Xenopus tropicalis: one gene and its partners. The main gene of each other region encodes a partner of the protein of the gene in region 2 in a complex. Links are inferred from orthologs where the notes say so. Each region holds a gene or a part of one and is shown on either strand. Other genes may lie near its edges.

Region 1 (3,947 bases), on a different chromosome or scaffold from region 2:
TTATATTTAGTTAATGAGTCCTGTGACACAAGTGATATCACTATGCACAGTTAATATAAAATCAAGGTTATTCATGGCTCTTGTGCTTTATACAGTGCTAAGCCAGATACAAAAGCGTTTTTTACTTCTTTGAGGCAAATCACCTTTGGATCACCTATAAGCGCAATATGAATAAGGTGACCAGTACGTGAATGTGATAAAAATAACCTCAGTAGTTAATTTACTCACTAAATCAACTTGACATCCTTCACACATCTAATTAAACACAAATTGGCACACTAGCACAGTTCCATGTACAATACAAAATGCAGCAATGTTTTTCTAAACCCATAGAAATAAATACACCATTAAAGCAAAAATATACTGCACTCCAGTTCTCCTCATAACCAACAGTTCCATGTTTTCATGATATGCACGTCTCACCTTGTGCAAACCAATAACTAGTAGAATTGATCAATCAAAACAATGTGCAGGTGTACAACCCACTGATCCATCAAAAGGTATTGTGTAAATGTTTAACCTGCAGCATATCCTTAAAAACTAGAATTATAACAAATTGAAAAAATTTACATGCACAAGCTTCATTTAACAGTCTCGCTGAAGTTTTCCATGGCCTGAGCAATTAATAAATTAACCAGCTTATATAGTACACAGTACTATAGTTGAAAACAGCTTTTAGTCTAATGAACCTGTTTAACTGCTAGCTCATCCAGAGGAAGGCCAAAAAAAAAATAAAATAAACGTTTTTCCAGTTTGCCTAAAAAATTATTTCCTGATTCCAAAGATCCTGAATTCCTGAACTATCCATTCAACACTCTGTAGAGTGTTAAGGGAATAAAAACAGCTCAATGCCCTAACTGTGGCTGTGTCTCTATTAGCAAAACTTTCCTTAAAACTTACCCATACTTTACCTATTATTGCACTGCTACAAAACTGCAATGTATCAGCAGTTATTACTGTTGAAAAATTGCAGCTCCTAAAATTAATAAGCACTATGGCTATGTCACGTGCTTGACATAAGAGTGAATGATTTACATGCTTGGTTAAATCTGAATGCATAAATGTAAACCAGATGGTTTAAGCCCCATATACAGTAAAGTGTTTGTTTTAACCAGGTTTCAGTTTTTTTTTTCCCCTACAATTTTTTACGTAAAAAACAAAATGTGACTTACATCCATCTATTTCCTCCTGCACATCCTCCTGGAACAGTGACAGATCTGAAAAGATTCAGAGTAAAATATAAGTGTGAAGAACAAACAGCCAGTAATCCTTGTCAGAGTCTGCAGTACCTGAAACACTTATACCCTCCTAGGAAGTGATCCCCAACCAGTGCTTCGTGAGCAACATGTTGCTCCCCAACCCCTTGGATGTTGCTCCCCAACCCCTTGGATGTTGCTCCCAGGGGCCTCAACTTAGGTACCCATTTTTGAATTTCTGGCTTAGGGGTGAGTTTTGGTTGCATAAAAACCAGTGTAAAGCCAAACAGAGCCTTCTATAGGCTACCAGTCCACATAGGGGCTACCAAATAGCCAATTGTAGCTCTTATTTGCACCCCCAGGAACTTTTTCCATGCTTGTGTTGCTCCCCAACACTTTTTCCATTTGAATGTGGCTCACGAGTATAAAAGGTTGGGGATCCCTGCTCCTAGGTGTATGTTACATAAACAATGTATGAACATTTCACAATAATTTTAGCTTACAATTCAGCATAGAAAGGTAACTATCACTGGATCTTACCAGTAACTAGATTTAATGTTTACATTTTAAAATTTGGTGTGCACACACACAAAATCTGCTGAATAAAATCATAAATTACTGTAACCTACATCCTGACATACGCATAAGGTACCACTACAGATTTCTGTTTGATTTTGGAGGGAAAGGAAGAAAATGTATAAATAGAACAAATTAGTACATTCATTGCTTCTCTAACTTTTTGCTGTAAAGCAGGCTCATCAATCCTGCAGCCCTTCAGCAGCTAAGGTAAATCAGAATAAAACTATAACTCCCAAATGCTGAGAGATGTTATGCTGCACCCTCTCACATTACTCTTAACACACAAAACATTTGACTAGACAAACCAACCTCAGTCTGAAATACCTGCAACTTAAATATACACGTTAGTAGAATTAGGTCTAAAACAAGTCTTAAATATGCACACACACACACAGGGCTGGAGTTGAGAGACTCGGGGCCCCATTTATAGAGTAAAATAACTATCATGATGTGCAAAAATAGCAACCCCAAAGTTGTTGTTGTAGTGTAGTACAATAGCCCAAGCCCCCCACACCAACATTAATGTGAGGGGGCTGCATGTAATTCATCCCTGACGTACATATTGAAACTAACTTGCAATTCCTGCACGGTATCACGTGTTATTGCCACTTGTGTTTACTTTTCCCCTGTTAATGCACTTCCTGTGGTTTGAGGCCCAGAATGAATTCCCTCACTGCCCTACACCGAATCCGAGCCTGCACCTACTCACACTCCCAGCACCCGCTTGTAGATGCACCCACTTTGTGGCAAAACAACCCACACTGAGCCCTGTCTCTCACCCGCCATCTTGTGCCTGGGGCCGCGCCGCTACATGGAGTCTCCAGCCAGTGCAGCGCCCACCTTGCCAGCGTGGGCTGGGTCGGAGTGCGAGGGCTGCCCGACACTGCACAATATCTCGGGCTTGTTGCAGCTTTCAGGCGGCTCCCCCCGGATCACACATCACATATTTCAGTCGAACACAGCGCGCCACCTCTTCCTGTGTGCAGAAGCCTCACTCCCTCTCTCACTCCCTCTCTCACTCACACACACTGGGAACATCCTCTTCCCGGCACTAACCTTGTGACACGCAGCGCCTCCTCTTCCTGTCCCTGCCTTATGTGCCTCGGTGGTACCTTACATAGCCATACGGGCAGCAACTCCTCTCCCAATGTCGGACTTTACTGCTCTGCCTCATGCTACCTCCGTGTGTCTCAGTGGAATACTGTTCATTAATCGACATTTAATAGTGCTAAATGAGTGTAGGGCTGGGTTTAGCCTGTAATAGAGAGAACATCATGTGGCCCCTATATTCGTTTGGGTCAAGTAGGTACTATATGTTTGTGGCAGTGTACAGAATCGTAGCTGGCTGCCGTACGTAACTTACGTGATGTCTCCATAAGTGGGAGCTTGAAACCTCACGTATTTGGAGGGGCCGCTATGGAAATGCTGACGTGTCTGCGCGTTAAAGCAGCACAAGGGAACACTAGTTGTACCTCGTTAGGTATCTAATAGGCACCAAGTACAATACACAATACTGTATATCGATATATTCCAAAAATACAGATGCATAAAGGAAAAGGCCTCCCAAGAGAGAAGATACTTATTTGTGGTCCTAGATATTCTAGTAAGGCAACTTCGGATGAATAATTATTTGTTAACTGGTGTCATTTATAGATCTATGGCTAAAGATCTCATACAAGGATGCTTATATGTGTGTAAAACGTGAAAAGTAACTCTTTGTATGCCAAATGTGGCTCTAAAAAGCGTATGTCACTTTCTTTGGTTCCAAGACTGGTAGAGGTGAACAATGGACATTTCTCACACTACACTACCCTCTTAGGGCTCTGGCACACGGGAAGAATAGTTGCCCGCAACAAATCTCCCTGTTCGCGGGCAACTAATCTCCCCGAAATGCCATCCCACCGGCGCAAATGTAAATCGCGGCGCGGACGTTGACTTGAGAGGAAACTTCCACGATTTCAGGGAAATCACGGTGCCACGTATGCCATCCCACCGGTGATTTACATTTTCGCTGGTGGGATGGCATTTCGGGGAGATTAATTGCCCGCGAACAGGGAGATTTTGGCCTCAGATCAAATGCACAGATAATTGCAGTCCACAGATATTGGGAGTTTTCACCTGCCCCAATTGATATTTGAACATGGGCCAGCTCTCCTATGTGTAGAAGTCCTA
Region 2 (4,213 bases):
TCACTTTATGGCATATGTGCACTGTGTGTCACTTCCTATTTGCTGGTTCACTATGGATAAATAGAACATGGGTTTGGTTAGCATGGTTGCCTTGAGAAAGGTCCCGATGGGGACCGAAACGTAACGGTGGCTGTTCATGCGTTTTTAATACACAATTGATTGTTTTTGGAATATAACTCGGTGTTGCTGGTCTTTTTTGGATATATATAGTGATATTCTGAGACAATTAAAAAAATTTTTTTAAGTTATTTAATTTTCAGTTCAGCAGCTCTCCAGTATGGAGTTTCAGTTTGGTTGCTAGGGTCCAAGTTACCTTAACAACCAGAGAGTGGTTTGGATGAGAGACTGGTATATGAATAGGAGGAGGGCCTGAATAGAAAAGTTACAAAAAGTAACAATAAAACTGGAGCCTCACAGAGCAATAGTTTTTTTTGCTACTGGGGTCAGTGACCCTCATATAAAAACTAATAAATAATTCAAGAACTATGACAAATTAATAATGAAGATTAAAATGTTGCTTAGAAGTGGCTGCTCTATAACACCCTAAAGGTGACCCCCCCCAGGCAGACCCAGCCGGCCCATAAGGTGGCTCTGCAGAAGACTCACCGCGCTTTGGCACAAAGAGCTTTCACTTCGCTCTCCTTGATGAGCTCACAGCGCCTCAGCTGCTCGATCTGCCGGTCGAGGTCACTGATTTCAGTCATGGTCCCTCCTCAATGAAGCTTCACTAAAGGGAAAAACCGGCAATTTTACTTACTGAACAAAAAAGGGGGCTTATAGCAAAACTCAAAACCCCCCTAATCTCTCAGACCCCACCCCCAGGCATAATGGGGTCCTTCTACAGAGCCCACCCCCAGGCATAATGGGGTCCTTCTACAGAGCCCACCCCCTGGCATAATGGGGTCCTTCTACAGAGCCCACCCCCTGGCATAATGGGGTCCTTCTACAGAGCCCACCCCCTGGCATAATGGGGTCCTTCTACAGAGCCCCACAAGCTATAACATACCCCCACACTAGGGTCCTTATATTTGCCCCTAGCCATAATGGGGTCATTATACTTACCCGCCCCCTACACCTGGGTACTTACTGCCACTAATGCCCCAGCCTTTAGACCCAAATCCTCACCTCAGTTACATAAAAGTATTTATCCCCCCCCCCCAACTAGTGTATTTATACACCCTGTATGTGAATATGAATACCAACACTCCAGGCCCAATGGGGGTCCTTAGACAGACCCCACCCCCCCGGGCCCAATGGGGGTCCTTAGACAGACCCCACCCCCCGGGCCCAATGGGGGTCCTTAGACAGACCCCACCCCCCGGGCCCAATGGGGGTCCTTAGACAGACCCCACCCCCCGGGCCCAATGGGGGTCCTTAGACAGACCCCACCCCCCGGGCCCAATGGGGGTCCTTAGACAGACCCCACCCCCCCGGGCCCAATGGGGGTCCTTAGACAGACCCCACCCCCCCGGGCCCAATGGGGGTCCTTAGACAGACCCCACCCCCCGGGCCCAATGGGGGTCCTTAGACAGACCCCACCCCCCCGGCCCAATGGGGGTCCTTAGACAGAGCCCACCCCCCGGCCCAATGGGGGTCCTTAGACAGACCCCACCCCCCGGGCCCAATGGGGGTCCTTAGACAGACCCCACCCCCCGGGCCCAATGGGGGTCCTTAGACAGACCCCACCCCCCGGGCCCAATGGGGGTCCTTAGACAGACCCCACCCCCGGGCCCCAATGGGGGTCCTTAGACAGACCCCACCCCCCGGGCCCAATGGGGGTCCTTAGACAGACCCCACCCCCCGGGCCCAATGGGGGTCCTTAGACAGACCCCACCCCCCCGGGCCCAATGGGGTCCTTAGACAGACCCCACCCCCCCGGGCCCAATGGGGGTCCTTAGACAGACCCCACCCCCCCGGGCCCAATGGGGGTCCTTAGACAGAGCCCACCCCCCGGCCCAATGGGGTCCTTAGACAGAGCCCACCCCCCCGGGCCCAATGGGGGTCCTTAGACAGACCCCACCCCCCGGGCCCAATGGGGGTCCTTAGACAGACCCCACCCCCCGGGCCCAATGGGGGTCCTTAGACAGACCCCACCCCCCCGGGCCCAATGGGGGTCCTTAGACAGACCCCACCCCCCCGGGCCCAATGGGGGTCCTTAGACAGACCCCACCCCCCCGGGCCCAATGGGGGTCCTTAGACAGAGCCCACCCCCCGGGCCCAATGGGGGTCCTTAGACAGAGCCCACCCCCCCGGGCCCAATGGGGGTCCTTCTACAGAGCCCACCCCCCCGGGCCCAATGGGGGTCCTTAGACAGACCCCACCCCCCGGGCCCAATGGGGGTCCTTAGACAGACCCCACCCCCCGGGCCCAATGGGGGTTCTTATACAGGCCCCACCCCCAGGCATAACAAGTTGCTTAAACTGAACCCCACTACCTATAATGGGGTCCATATAGCGACCCACCCCCGCCCATAATGGGGCCCGTACCCCTGGGGTACCTACTCGCAGTAATGCCCCTCAGTGACACACAAGGATTAATATGGGAGTATGGGGGAGAGACGTATCCCCCCCCAGGTTCCCTCTCACATCGGACGGGGGACTCACACACAGCTCGGTGCCGATCCCCCACCCCCAGTTCCGGGCAGTTAGAAGCCGAGAGCGCACATCCGGGTCCCGGCGGCTCAGCCCCACACACGGATACACACACACACACGGGCTTCCGGTACACAGGCCGCCTTACCGGATCCGGGGAGCGGTGTGTGCGGGTCTCTCCCCCCGGAGCCTCCCGCTTCCTCCTCTCCACACAGCGAGAGCCAAACACCGCGAGAGTGTGACGTCAATGGCGCGTCTGCGAACTCCCAGCAGCCCCTGCGCGACCGCTCTCAGTCCCGCCCAATAGCCATTGCGACTGGCGGGAAATACCTTTGTTTGGAGTTTTTTTTTAACTGCAACTTTATTAACACAGATCGGGACACAAAGCGGACAGTATCACGTGACTGGGAGTTACAAGAGTGATGTTTTTGTAGCAAAGCAGTTGCCGCTCTCCCCCTTAACCCACAGCTAGGAGTGTTTGGTGTCTACACCAGGCTTATGGTGGTTGTCTTTTATTATTTCGTGAGATTTAACTCCTGTGTACATCATAGGAGGGCGGCAGAGCGGTTAATTTTGCCGGAGGCCTCTGCCGAGTGAGCCCTCCAATCAGAAACCTCTCGCCTGGGCAGCCCTCCAATCAGAAGCCTCTCGAATGGGGAGCCCTCCAATCAGAAGCCTCTCGAATGGGGAGCCCTCCAATCAGAAGTTTCTGAACAGGGAGCTTCTGACATGGGGGAGAAGCTTCCCATTCGAGAGACTTCTGATTGGAGGAAATCCCCCCAACCAGAAGCCTCTTACGTAGGGAACCCTCCAACCAGAAGCCTGCTGAATGGACAGCCCTCGCGTCAGAAGCCGTAAGATTTGGGCTACTAATTACAAGTACGAGTACAAACCCGCCAAGGTACAGATTTGGGCTATTTTGTGGAGCCTTGGTGGGTTTGTAATTTGGAAACTAGCCAAAGTTTTATTCCCCCCTAGTGTGCCTGTTCCACTGCATGCTGGGTAATGTAGTTTGTATCTAACAATTAGCCTACTGCTACGATTAATATAAAACTACAATACCCAGCATGCAATTGGACAGTATAGACAGGGGCTCTGTTTTCTATTCTTTTTTGCTGTTTCAGGCTCAACCTGTCTGCCCTACACCCTGCTCTATAGGGTATGTGATTGTACTATTACTTTTCTACTGGTGCTGCTGAGAGTTGTAGTTTAACGCACCCATATGTATATAGTGTCTGGGGTTAATGCAATATCAGCCATCCCAGTAACTGGGTAGTGATTATATAATTTTTATATTATATAATTTCTTTATTGCGCATATTGGGCTATTTTTGGGCTACTTTTAAAGTGGCTTTTGGCTAGTTGGAAAAATAAATCTGGCAACCCTGGAAGCCGCCAGCCTCGTTCAACCGCATTTGTGTCTGCCCGCCCTCTGAAAGGGCAATAGTAGTAATTAGTGAGGAGTCGAAAGGGTGGGGGCTGCCAGCGTTAGATGCCAGTGTGTAGGAGGGTCCTGCAGGGCAGGGCATTAACCCCTGAGCTGCTGTTAAAATGTATTTTGCTGATCTGACTAGAAAGTGCTGTATGGTTGCTAGGGTCCCACTCATCCTAGCAACTAGTGG
Region 3 (3,514 bases), on a different chromosome or scaffold from region 2:
ACCTTTTTATATTACTGTACAAGGATTTTTCTAGCTCCTTTTAGGTTAAACTGCTCTTCTTGCCAGTCAAGCACATCTTTACCAGAGGGCAGTTTGTCCCCTGGCCCAGGCAATGGATCGCAATTGGTTCCTTGAGGGAATAAGCAAGAGCTGATGGTATTTACACACTGAAAACGTTCCTCCAGAAAATGGCCACTCATTTATTTTATCTGCCCACAATAAATCTTTACTACTGCAGGTGACTAATCTCCCCAAAATACCTTCCTACCAGCAAGAATGCTTATTGCCGGTGGGATGGCATATGTGCTGCTTTAGTTTTCTGAAGCTGCCCAAAGTTGCCTCAAGAGGAAACTCCGGCCTACTTCAGGAAACCGAAGTGACACTAATGCCATCCCACCAAGTGAAAATTGTGGCAGAATAATATGGACCACAGTAATAACAAAGATACTGCACATAAAAGATGTAAAAAGGTAAAAGTACAGCTAAAAATACAGGTGTGATATGGTTTCTCTTTAATGTCACATACCCCACAGACTGTAATATATATTTATATTTAAGTGTGAATTATTAGTTCCCTGTATTTCTACATAAGCTCCAATGCCAGATGGAGGCACAAAATGCTGTTCTCTAATTCTCTCCATATAAATGCTTGAACAAGAAAAGTTTCTACCCACCAAGTTTAACTTTAAATTCTGAGAATTTGCAATATTGAGACTAATTAAAAAAAAAAAAAAAAAAAAAGTGCTAAGAATAGTACATTCTGTAAAATACTAAATTAACTAAAAGGTGATCTACTCACTTTTACCAGTAGGATAGTTATGCCATTAACATGCTAGCATAGTTAACAAAGTACAAGGGCTGTCTTACGGCCTACTAAAGAGAAAAAGGGAGATATCACTTCTGAGTAGCGGAGCTTTCTGGAAAAAATGTTTTTGAAAGAATAGATTTCATTCAATATAGAAAATCCACAGTTATCGGTGCTGAAAAAGATTGGTGCATTCAAGACCATAAGAGTCAGAATTAACTTTGTCGCTGCCACATACAAAGAATGGACTCACCTTAGCAGATGCCACTGTGGTTGTCAAGCTTGTATTTTTGGAGGAAGATCCATTAGAACTTGCTGGTGGTGTGTGAGCTGCCACAGACTTGCTGTTTGTACTGTTTGCCCCATTAGCTGCACTAACTGAGTGAGAGAAAGTGAATTTAAACCCTCCAACAGATGTCCTCTTTGGAAGATTCTCTTTATCTTCAAGCTCTTTCGCTAAAAAACAAAACAAAACCCAAAGCATTAATATTAATAACAGATTAATAAAATCAGTTTTTGAGGCAAAAAATATTTTGCCTCTAAATGGATGTAATATAAAGAAAAAAATATATAGAGATTCAAGGGATTCGGTCATGATTTATGTGGTGTAGTTTTTACTTCTAAATTACACTGTGCACATTGCAAATAATTCACTCTACTATGTACTACTGAACCAATAAATGTTTTTTTAATTGTAATATTGGTGTGTATGGAGCCATCTCAGATCACTGTGGATGATCCTGTGCTTTCAGAAAGAGTCAGCGCGTCACAAAGGAACTGCTTTTTAGATTGGCTCCAATGGAAAGACTTGAGTTTTACTACTGAGTGGTATTCTCATATCTACCACAAGGGAAGGGGGAGCAGTAATCCTGTTACTTTTCTGTGATTTTGCAGATTTTCCCAGGGAAAGGGAGGGGGGAATCATTCCAACTTGCAGTGCAACAGTAAAAAGTGACTGGAGTTTATCAGAGCATAATTTACATGGCTGAGAGCACTTGGGAAATAAAACACGTCTAGCCCCACATCAAATTTCAAGACAATTTCAAGTGTAAAAAATAGCTTGCTCTTTTAAAAACAAAAGGAATTTCACTGCAGGATTCTGCTGGAGGAGCACTATTAACTTACGCATTTTATAAACAAAATTGCTGGCAAAATCTTCCCCCCCATAAGGCCACCTTGAGGTGGATGATATCAGGTTGATCCGATGGCCAAACAATCATCTCATAATTGCAGGCCATCATATCAATGACCACACCAACGTGCTGATCTTGGCCTCAATCTGAGTGGAAAATTAAACCTACCTATCTAAACCTTTTCTCTTGGCAATTTTTGCCTATAGATCAGTCGGGTAGGCCTCTAAACAGGCCAGTAAATTGCTGACTTCGTCCGCTGGCAGCTTCTACCGGCCTGTGTATGGCCACCTTAAGATAATACATATTCATGCCCCAAAGGTTTCCCAAATTTTATCAGCTTTAGGAAATTGAGTTCTGGGGTTAGAACTGCTGCACTACTTATAAAAATTAATTAGCGGTCAGTAACTCTTCTGCTGGTCATATTATAGAAGTCAACAGTGAGGCACAGAACAAGGAAAACCTGTAGGAGTTGAATCTACAGTGTTGTCACTATGGTAATTTAATATTGACACCGTACATTCTACAGTGAGCAATTCTAAAAAATTAAACACCTGTTGGCAGATATATTTAACAGCTACTACAGTTCAGTTGCTTTTATAATAAGGACAGTGTAAATGCTAAAATGTTTGCGCTTCACTTGTACACAACCACGGACTGTGCGGATTTGCTGTATTTCCTTGTTAAAGGGCAAAACCAATACCTTTTTTAGTTTCCAGAAATTTTTCATAACCTTCAGGAAAGTCATCCTCTGTTTTAGTTTTTTCAACAGGAGGTACAACTGCTTCCCCTTCCTCTTCCTCATCTTCATTAAACCACAACTCTTCATCATCCTCCAGTGCTCTCGCATCTCTACGAAACCGGTTACTACGCAATATAGATGGTACGCTAAGAAAACAGAAGGTAAAAATTATAACTTGCCTCTTTTTAAATACCAAGCTGAAATATGTACAAAAGCTTTCATTCCGTCACTCTGTACCATCATTGATGCAAGCATCCTTTACATTGACGTTACCCTAACGGTAAACCTTTTAAAGGCACATGACAAAACACCTACAAATACCCTTCCATAGGATATGCCGGTAATTTCTGACCCTGCAGGTGCAATATTATTGTAAAACGTTTTTTTTTTTTTGTAAACAAATACCTGATTCACATTTGCAATGTTAGGGTCGGTGCAAATACCTGCACAGCCTATGGAAAGGTATTGCAGATATTTTGCTGCCCACACACGAGAGAGTAAAAGCATGAGGGGCACACAAGCAAATGCCTGCACTGCTAAACTAAGCTGTAGTTCTCCTTTAACAGACCTTGTGTGTGCAAGATATCAACAGAGGTGAACTTTGCCAGGCCCCAGCTCAACCTGCACCAGGTTTACCCACTTATCTCTCACTTTTTTCCCCCCAACATATAATGGAACCCTAGAAAGACCAATCCAAATTATTAATCATTACCTGCTTAACTTCTGACTTTGACGATCCTTTTCTTGTTCATATCTCGTTTTCAATCCTTTAAATGTTTGAACATATTCAATGGATTCAAGTGCTTTGTAAAAATTTTCTACAATGTGTGATGTTAA
Region 4 (3,514 bases), on a different chromosome or scaffold from region 2:
ACCTGTGCATAACATATCCTAACCACCCTGCCTCACAAGTATTGCCTGTGATCTGAGATTCAAGGCATTACAGTGGCACAACACTGGTAATCAGGATCAGGCTTTTTTTTTTTTCTAACTTTTACTCAGAGAATTTCAGTTTTCTATTATCCAGAGCAGCATGTTATCTGCAACCCAAGAAGTTTTACTACCAATGTTCCTTTTTCGGGTGTGAGATTACGGGTTAGGTGCTTATTTACTTTCTTTAATATATGTGGGGGCCCACTTTGAAAGGCCACTTGACATTTATATGAAAATAATAAATTGTTGGTGAACTTTGTATAAAATACTTGCGAAAAAAAAAGCTTTAGCTCCAAGTTGTTGCTCTGTGCTGCAACCAAATACAATTTTTTTATTAACATATATATCATACAGAAATTGCAACACTGCAAGTGGCTTTTAATATAATAACATTCATGTTACAATATACAATTCATGTATAGGGCAAAGTAAATGTGATGTGGCTATTGCTTGACTTCCGATTTGAACCAGAAGTTAGTTTAATGCATTCCTTAGAGTGTTCAAAGTTAGCTTGTGAGTATTTTTGTGCCAGTTCAGGGAAGGGGATGGGGACAGAGGGCTTCTCTTCAAAAATTGCCCATACACGGTAAGATCTGCTCGCCTGGCGATATTGGGCCAATTCATCATTTGGCCCTAGGGCCAGACAATTCAATTAAAATGATGGATATAGGTGCTGTTGGCAACAGAAAAATAAAACCTGTCTGTTGAAACCTGGCCAGATGTTGGTAGGGGAGGCCCATTGTGCCCATACACAGCCAGATATGGTGCTGAATTGGGCTAAAGGTAGATAGTGGCAGCTAAAATCAGCCCACGTATGGCCACCTTAAGTCTGCGAACCTGCATTTACTGGCTGAGCTTGTACAAAAAGAGGGAGTTGGAGCTGCAAGAATATTTTTAATGTAAAATATTTGTGTTTCTATTCCTTCAAGCTGGCGATATACTGAAATATATGCTTTTTTTTTTTTTTAGCAAGGTCACCTTGAGGTGGGCAATATCAGGCTGATTTGATCGTTTAGCCCAAAAAAATATTTTGTACCATTTAATTTGTAAATGTATGGCCACCTTAACTATGAATCATACATTTAGTGAATGTATCAAGCTAAGTAAAGCTTGAAAACGCAGATACTTCTTGGGTTACTAAAGCACAGCTGCAGTGCAGCTAGACCAGGGATCCAACCTTTCATACCTGTGAGCCACATTTAAATGGAAAAAGTGTTGGGGAGCAACACAAGCATGAAAAAGTTCCTGGGGGTGCCAATAAGAGCTATAGCAGCCTACAGAAGGCTCTGTTTGGCATTATACTTGGTTTTTATGCAACCAAAACTTGTCTCCTTACCAGAAATTCAAAAATGCACACCTGCTTTGAGGACACAGGGTACAACATCCAAGGGGTTGGTGAGCAACATGTTGCTCACGAACCACTGGTTGGGGAACACTAAGCTATACAAACTTAAGTACAAACAACTCAAAAGAATGGTAGGCAACCCTACATAATGCTTTAAAATGCAACAAAATAACAGAACTACTAAGAACTGGTTTGGTGGAATAGGAAAAAATACAAAGAAAAAAATTAGAGAAAGAGTGCATTGAGTATGATCTTGTTACAAATAAATGTTTTTGTAATAAACACCTAATTAAAACATAAAACTGAGATCATGGCTTGGAAAAAGACACTATTTAAAGGGACAGATTTACTAAGCTTCGACCATTCTGGTAATCGATTGCAACTTCCTGAACTCACTGGAGTTTTCAGCAATTGATTTGTTTCACTTGTTTTTTTTACTTTTGCAAGTAGGCTTTTGACAAACTAAAAGCTCAACAGGTTTTTAGCCACCACTGTGTTAAACCGGTGTGTACATTTGGGGCGTTGCCTTCATCACACGAGGTTTTGAGGTCGTTACAGCTTTGACATTTTATGAGAAAAACAATGGAGAAATCTTCCTTGTCCACTGCCAAAAGACTTTAATAATACCCTAATACCAACCTAATAATAATACAATATCAAATAATATAATTTAAAAAAAAACTTAACAGCTTTCTTCTTGATTAGCTAAAAACATTTATATTAGGCTTGCAGCTATATTACCACATTTCTGCAAGTAATTACTTTACTGATGAAGTTGGATACTTACATCATCGTTCTGCTGTGCCTCTTGCATTACAAACTCTCGCACCATAGATGGATTATATTCTACCAAGTAGGAGAAAATGTCGGTGGCAGCACTTCGAACCTGTGGATCATCCATGCCCTATTTGGTTAAACAACAGGACCCATCTTACATTGCTGTATTAATCAGACTAGCAGAAACTGCCTAGCATTTCCATATTGAAACTTTATATGCTGAATATCTTTACAAAAGATATGTGGACTAAAACAGGTTAGCCAATAAATCACTCAAAATAATAGAAAAAATCTACCTAAATTAAAGTTTGATAACTATGCATTAACATTCATATAATTTAAAAGTTTAGAATGAGGAAGGTAAAACACCAGTGCTACAGCTCAAATGATTACCTTTCAAGTGTTACAGAAGCTAGAGAGTTTTACAGAGTAAATATAAGGTAAAAAAAGTATAAATGCAGCATGCAACCGTGTACAACATAAGTTACACATTATTTTCACAAAATCTATGAAGTTGTCAAACTTGTGACAGAGGTTTCACTGAACAGATAAGAAAGTTTGTAATCTGAACAAAAAGGATTGCTACTTACTAAAATTACTTCTAAGGCCGGAAGGATACCCATGTTTGACAAAGTCTTAAAGAAAGCATCTCTATTTTGGGGTTGTAGCGTCTGAGAGAATGCACAGAATTCCTTTAGAAAGTTAACCTGAAATTAAGGTAAAAAACATTTCAAAATAAATTCTGGTTCATTTTCTTACATAGTTACATATGGTTGAAAAAAGACCAGAGTCCTTCATGTTCAACCCTTATAAGTTAACCCAGCACACACAACCTATACTTACCAATCTATACACTCACATACATAAACTATATATATATATATATATATATATATATATATATATATATATATATATATATACACATACATACACACAACTACTAATACTAACTGTAGATATTAATATCACCATAGCCTTGAATACTATGCTTGTTTAAGAACTCATCTCTACACAAGCATAAGCAAACTATTAAAGCTATAAACAATTTTTTTCTGATTGAAATGAATAGCAACCACCTTTCACCAGTCATGCCCAGAACACTCAAGGAGCGGAGAAAAATTAGAAATAATATGTTACTGAGATAATATACATAAATATAATTAAGACAGCACAGCAAATAAATGATCCAGCATTAAAACGCCTAAGTGGAAACAGGTACTTCTCTACCAACAGAAATATGCTGCTAGGCAAATGACAGTGCTTCACGGGCCTTAGTAATACATTTAATATTTCTCAGTGCCTTCTGAACAGTTGAATTGTACAAGATGT
Region 5 (4,224 bases), on a different chromosome or scaffold from region 2:
TGTTATAGTGCCAGGGCCTGAATATCTGCCATCAGTACCCACTGTGTTTCACTGTATATAATGTGCTGGGTTTGTAAATACGGACTGCGTCTCACTGTATATAATGGGGAGTCAGTACCCACTGCCTTTCTTGCTATAAAACTAACATAAACACATCTAAAGGGGTGGTTCACTTTTAAGTTAACCTTTAGTATGTTATAAAATGGCCTATTCCTAGCAACTTTGCAATTGGTCTTCCTAATTAATTTTTTTGAATAATTTGCCTTTCTCTTCTGCCTCTATACAGATTTCAAATGGGGGCCAAAAATATTGCTCTGTGAGGCTACAATTTTATTATTATTATAATTTTGTATTACTTATTTTTCCAAGTAGGCCCCTTAACTATTCATATTCCCATCTCTTGTTTAAACCACTACCTGGTTGCTAGGGTAAATAAGACCCTAGCAACCAGATAGCTGCTGAAATACCAAATGGAGAGCTGCTGAACAAAAAGCTAAATAACTGAAAAACCATTAAAAATAAAAGTGAATTCGAATGCGAACTAGCCCTTTAAGCTAACTGATCACAAACACAAATGTTTGCAGATCCCCTAACAGAAGTGCACTTATAAATACTTTTACATACTAAACATTTTAGGGTAAAAAAAAAAAGCACCCCCACCCGCACTTTTGTACAGTACCCCTGGGAGTCAGTGGGAACGGCAAGAGGTAGTTGGGAGGTTAACTTTTTACGCCAGCAGCGAATCCACTAAGTGTCACATTAGCTGTAGGTCAGTCTGTGTATGGGCCATCTTTAGCCTCCCCTAGTATCATCCTGCAAAAAAAAAATATATATATATTTATATATATATTTGTCTGTTGCAGGATGATGCTAGCTTACTTGCCCCCGCCCCGTTGGAAAATTTTCTGCGGACGCCCATGACTAGAAGTTCCTCTAGCAGTAAATGACTTTGCCCAGGGCCCTTTAGCATTATAGGGCACCCTTTGGGGAAAAGTAAACTACATTACAAGAGACATATCATTTTGTGTAAATATTTTCATTATTTCCATCAGGGTTGTAGGAAATCTGGCTGTCCTACTACTTAAAACAGATGTCTGATTGGAGGATTCTAGCTGGTTAAACGACTTTGGGCCATTGGTTTCCAAGACTATTTACACAGGGAGAGAAGCAGCTGTTGATTTGCGACTTTTCTTGTTTTTATCGCCACGTTCATACAATATAAAGAAGTTGCCAGGGTTTGTGAGCGTACTCATGTGACCTTGTTACCCTCGCCAAGTAAAATAACGAGTGAGTGGTGACAGGGAAAGGCCAAAGGGGCACGAAGTGTAGTGGAACCATTTGGGTTTCCCGTCCCTTCAGGTGGGAGGGGGAAAGGCGCTCACTATACTGACGTCACAGCGAGGAAGTTTGCGCCGCGGGGTTCGCTGTAGCGGCGCGTTGCTATGGGAACGGGAAGCACCATAGCACGCGTTGCTCTCTGGCCTCTCTGATCCGCTTATACTGATCCTCCCCCAAACCCCTCTCTCGCCTGCTGTCCCTGCAGCCGCGCTGCCAAACGCTACATACGCCGTGTCGCTGCTGAGGGGATCCCATGTCCCTGGCACTGGGTGAAAGCGGCAGCCCACGGATCCCACGCAAAAGAGGAGGCGAAGGCGTCTGCCCACGCATGACAGCTCCAATGAATGCTTCTGGCAGCGTGTGAATGTTGCAGCCTACGGGACTCGCGTAGGACTGGCATAGCTGTGGGCAGCCCACGCATGGCGCTCTTGTAAAGTCAATGTCGTTGCGGTGGCTGAAGCACAGCGAGCATCAGAGAAGCAGGTGTTAGCCTGGCACCCAAGGGCATCACTCCCGGGATTAGGGATCCGGCAGCAGGCTGCTAACCACTCCTTACTCCCTACACTGCACCAATACTAGGTGTGTCAGCAGTGGGGCCAGCTGAGCCCTTGCCAGTTACCCCCGATGGCATCGCGCTGCTGCTGCTGATTTCCCCTCGCACCTCCTTCTCTATTCCCCCCGCCTCCGCCCCTCATTCCCCTGCTCGGATCTTCTTCGGGCGCTGCCATGTGAAGCTCTCTCTTGGCTTCTTTGCCTACTCATGTTTTGCCCAGTTAGACTCGCAGATTCTCCCATGCATCCCACCGGCTTCTTTAGGATGGATTTCAGCCAGGGCAGCTTGTTTGGCTACATAGAGGACTTGGAGGGACTGACGATCATCGAGAGACCGGTCCGCAGAAGCCTCAAGGTATCATTTGGACAGGATGGCGCAGGGTAGAACAGACCGGTTGGGGTGCTGGATCCAGTCATTATATCCAGATCCATTTCAAATTAGCACGCAGTTAGGCTGGTTAGTAATTCAGCTGAACACACCATGGGCGTCGATAGTAGTGTACATCTTGTACCTAAACTGATTATCAGCCATAGAAGATTTGTATTTATTTGTTTTATACAAGGGTAAATATATCTGTAGTTATTATTAGAAACGACCATTCGATTCCAGGGCAGCAAACACAATTTAGTTCTTACTCTTAACCGCCTTTGTACTGTACTTTCTGTCCTGCTTCAGTCACACTTTGAAAAGGATGATCTGGTACTAACACTTCACAGTCATAGTTGATCTACTGCTGCTAGAATCTGTAATAGCAACCTGAGAGTCCAATATAGTTGTAGTTCAACAACTCTTGCTCTGTGTTCCACCTATTTGTGATGGTGATTGAAGGTTGCATACATGAGTTTCCCACCACAAATCCCAGAGTCAGGGTTTGTTAAAAGACATTTGAGGGCAACTGGTGGCCTATCATGTGGAACACTAGAAACCACCCCAGCAGCAGTATATAAGCTTGCTTGCTCTTTGTGTGACACTTTTTTCCATTTACATTCTTTTATTTCAAAATGTCCAGTTTCCTCCCAGTCCCACCCTCTAAAAACACACAGACTCATCATCATCAACCCCAGCTTGTATTATTTGTGTGACTGTGATAGGCATTATAAACTGCACTATGGCAGGGACTGATGTCAGTGATGATCAATCCTTGTAGTGCTGCAGAATATATCCAAGCTAAAGCAGGGCTGTGGAGTTGGTACAAAAATTCTTCGACCCTCACTCTAATAATTCCTTAGTTTGTGGTACCTCCGACTCCAACTATAATTCCAGATACCCAAAATTGCTTCCAACTCCTCAGCCCTGTTCTAAAAAAAAATGAGGATAATCATTAATGTCACTAGTCACTTTCAGAGCTAAAAACAGCAGTGACACAATGCATTTCATTGGTCAAGGACAGACTTCCTTATGGGCCACAGTACCTTTATTTTAATTTTTCCTTTGGAAATATTGTGGATTTTTCTTGTTTTATTTTCTCTAGTGTATGCTTTATATGAAGTTCTAACTCAGCATGAATTTTCATTCTTGCACAACTGCCCACTAAATTATACAGGAATGGCTGTGGTAGGAGAAAGCACATAAGTATGATCATAGTCATCTGATCAAAAGAAACCATGACTCAAGGCCATCTTAGGCTTTACCATGCCCTAACCAAAGTTAATCTGGACCTTTTGTTTACTGTATAGTGGCCCATAAGGATATACAAATAACAGATCATTCTGAAAATATGTTTTATATTTTTTTTTCAGACGCCTGAAGAAATTGAAAGGTTAACAGTTGATGAAGAACTAAATGACATTGAAAGGGCTGTATTCCTTCTCAGGTATATTCCACTGTAAAATATTTCAACTTGGAAAATATAATTTTTAAGTAGCCTTTGAAATCTGTTGTCCAACATTATTTAAGTTATTGTATCAAGGAAAAAAAATTGGTTTTTGCTCGTTTTTATCAGACGATAGCTTAGTTTCTTTGGGGAAATGTCTAAAAAGTATATGTATATCCAGCTAATTAGTTAACTGGGAAGGTAGTATAGCCCATAATGGTCAGTTTGTCCTTGTGTCTGCACACCACTGTTTTTTTCATCTACATATATGTACCCATATTTTTCTTCTAGGTAGTATTAATGGTACATGGGGCTGGGAAACAATTAGAACAATGATAGACAGAATGGGTCATTTTGTCAATGGCTGTTTCCACTAGATTTTCACCATACTCTCACCTATCTTAGTCAAGTTATTTTTTTTTCTTCAAGAACAACATTATCAGATGTTTTTCTAAATAAAAATACATTATGTTCAATAATATAGCCTATATTCCTTTAATTTGCTCTTAAAGGTATATGT

What was found.
Region 1: ppp4c (region 2) and ppp4r1 share a complex: the UniProt entries of both Homo sapiens proteins name them as parts of the PP4 complex. The link is inferred for Xenopus tropicalis from reciprocal best matches to the Homo sapiens genes PPP4C and PPP4R1.
Region 3: ppp4c (region 2) and ppp4r3b share a complex: the UniProt entries of both Homo sapiens proteins name them as parts of the PP4 complex. The link is inferred for Xenopus tropicalis from reciprocal best matches to the Homo sapiens genes PPP4C and PPP4R3B.
Region 4: ppp4c (region 2) and ppp4r3a share a complex: the UniProt entries of both Homo sapiens proteins name them as parts of the PP4 complex. The link is inferred for Xenopus tropicalis from reciprocal best matches to the Homo sapiens genes PPP4C and PPP4R3A.
Region 5: ppp4c (region 2) and ppp4r4 share a complex: the UniProt entries of both Homo sapiens proteins name them as parts of the PP4 complex. The link is inferred for Xenopus tropicalis from reciprocal best matches to the Homo sapiens genes PPP4C and PPP4R4.

Annotation. Positions count from the first base shown.
Region 1 is NC_030682.2:104,631,157-104,635,103, forward strand, and holds the start of ppp4r1 (serine/threonine-protein phosphatase 4 regulatory subunit 1), read right to left. Parts: upstream 2,814-3,947; 5' UTR 2,562-2,813; coding exon 2,555-2,561; intron 1,218-2,554; coding exon 1,173-1,217; intron 1-1,172. UniProt on the Homo sapiens protein: Regulatory subunit of serine/threonine-protein phosphatase 4. May play a role in regulation of cell division in renal glomeruli. The PPP4C-PPP4R1 PP4 complex may play a role in dephosphorylation and regulation of HDAC3.
Region 2 is NC_030685.2:2,452,952-2,457,164, forward strand, and holds the start of ppp4c (serine/threonine-protein phosphatase 4 catalytic subunit), read right to left. Parts: upstream 2,807-4,213; 5' UTR 2,740-2,806; exon of another isoform or gene 2,502-2,739; intron 728-2,501; 5' UTR 705-727; coding exon 607-704; intron 1-606. UniProt on the Homo sapiens protein: Protein phosphatase that is involved in many processes such as microtubule organization at centrosomes, maturation of spliceosomal snRNPs, apoptosis, DNA repair, tumor necrosis factor (TNF)-alpha signaling, activation of c-Jun N-terminal kinase MAPK8, regulation of histone acetylation, DNA damage checkpoint signaling, NF-kappa-B activation and cell migration.
Region 3 is NC_030681.2:35,555,391-35,558,904, reverse strand, and holds part of ppp4r3b (serine/threonine-protein phosphatase 4 regulatory subunit 3), read right to left. Parts: coding exon 3,390-3,514; intron 2,824-3,389; coding exon 2,639-2,823; intron 1,262-2,638; coding exon 1,059-1,261; intron 1-1,058. UniProt on the Homo sapiens protein: Regulatory subunit of serine/threonine-protein phosphatase 4 (PP4). May regulate the activity of PPP4C at centrosomal microtubule organizing centers.
Region 4 is NC_030684.2:87,115,044-87,118,557, forward strand, and holds part of ppp4r3a (serine/threonine-protein phosphatase 4 regulatory subunit 3A), read right to left. Parts: intron 2,890-3,514; coding exon 2,773-2,889; intron 2,310-2,772; coding exon 2,193-2,309; intron 1-2,192. UniProt on the Homo sapiens protein: Regulatory subunit of serine/threonine-protein phosphatase 4. May regulate the activity of PPP4C at centrosomal microtubule organizing centers.
Region 5 is NC_030684.2:88,192,235-88,196,458, forward strand, and holds the start of ppp4r4 (serine/threonine-protein phosphatase 4 regulatory subunit 4), read left to right. Parts: upstream 1-1,411; 5' UTR 1,412-2,098; coding exon 2,099-2,245; intron 2,246-3,630; coding exon 3,631-3,704; intron 3,705-4,224. UniProt on the Homo sapiens protein: Putative regulatory subunit of serine/threonine-protein phosphatase 4.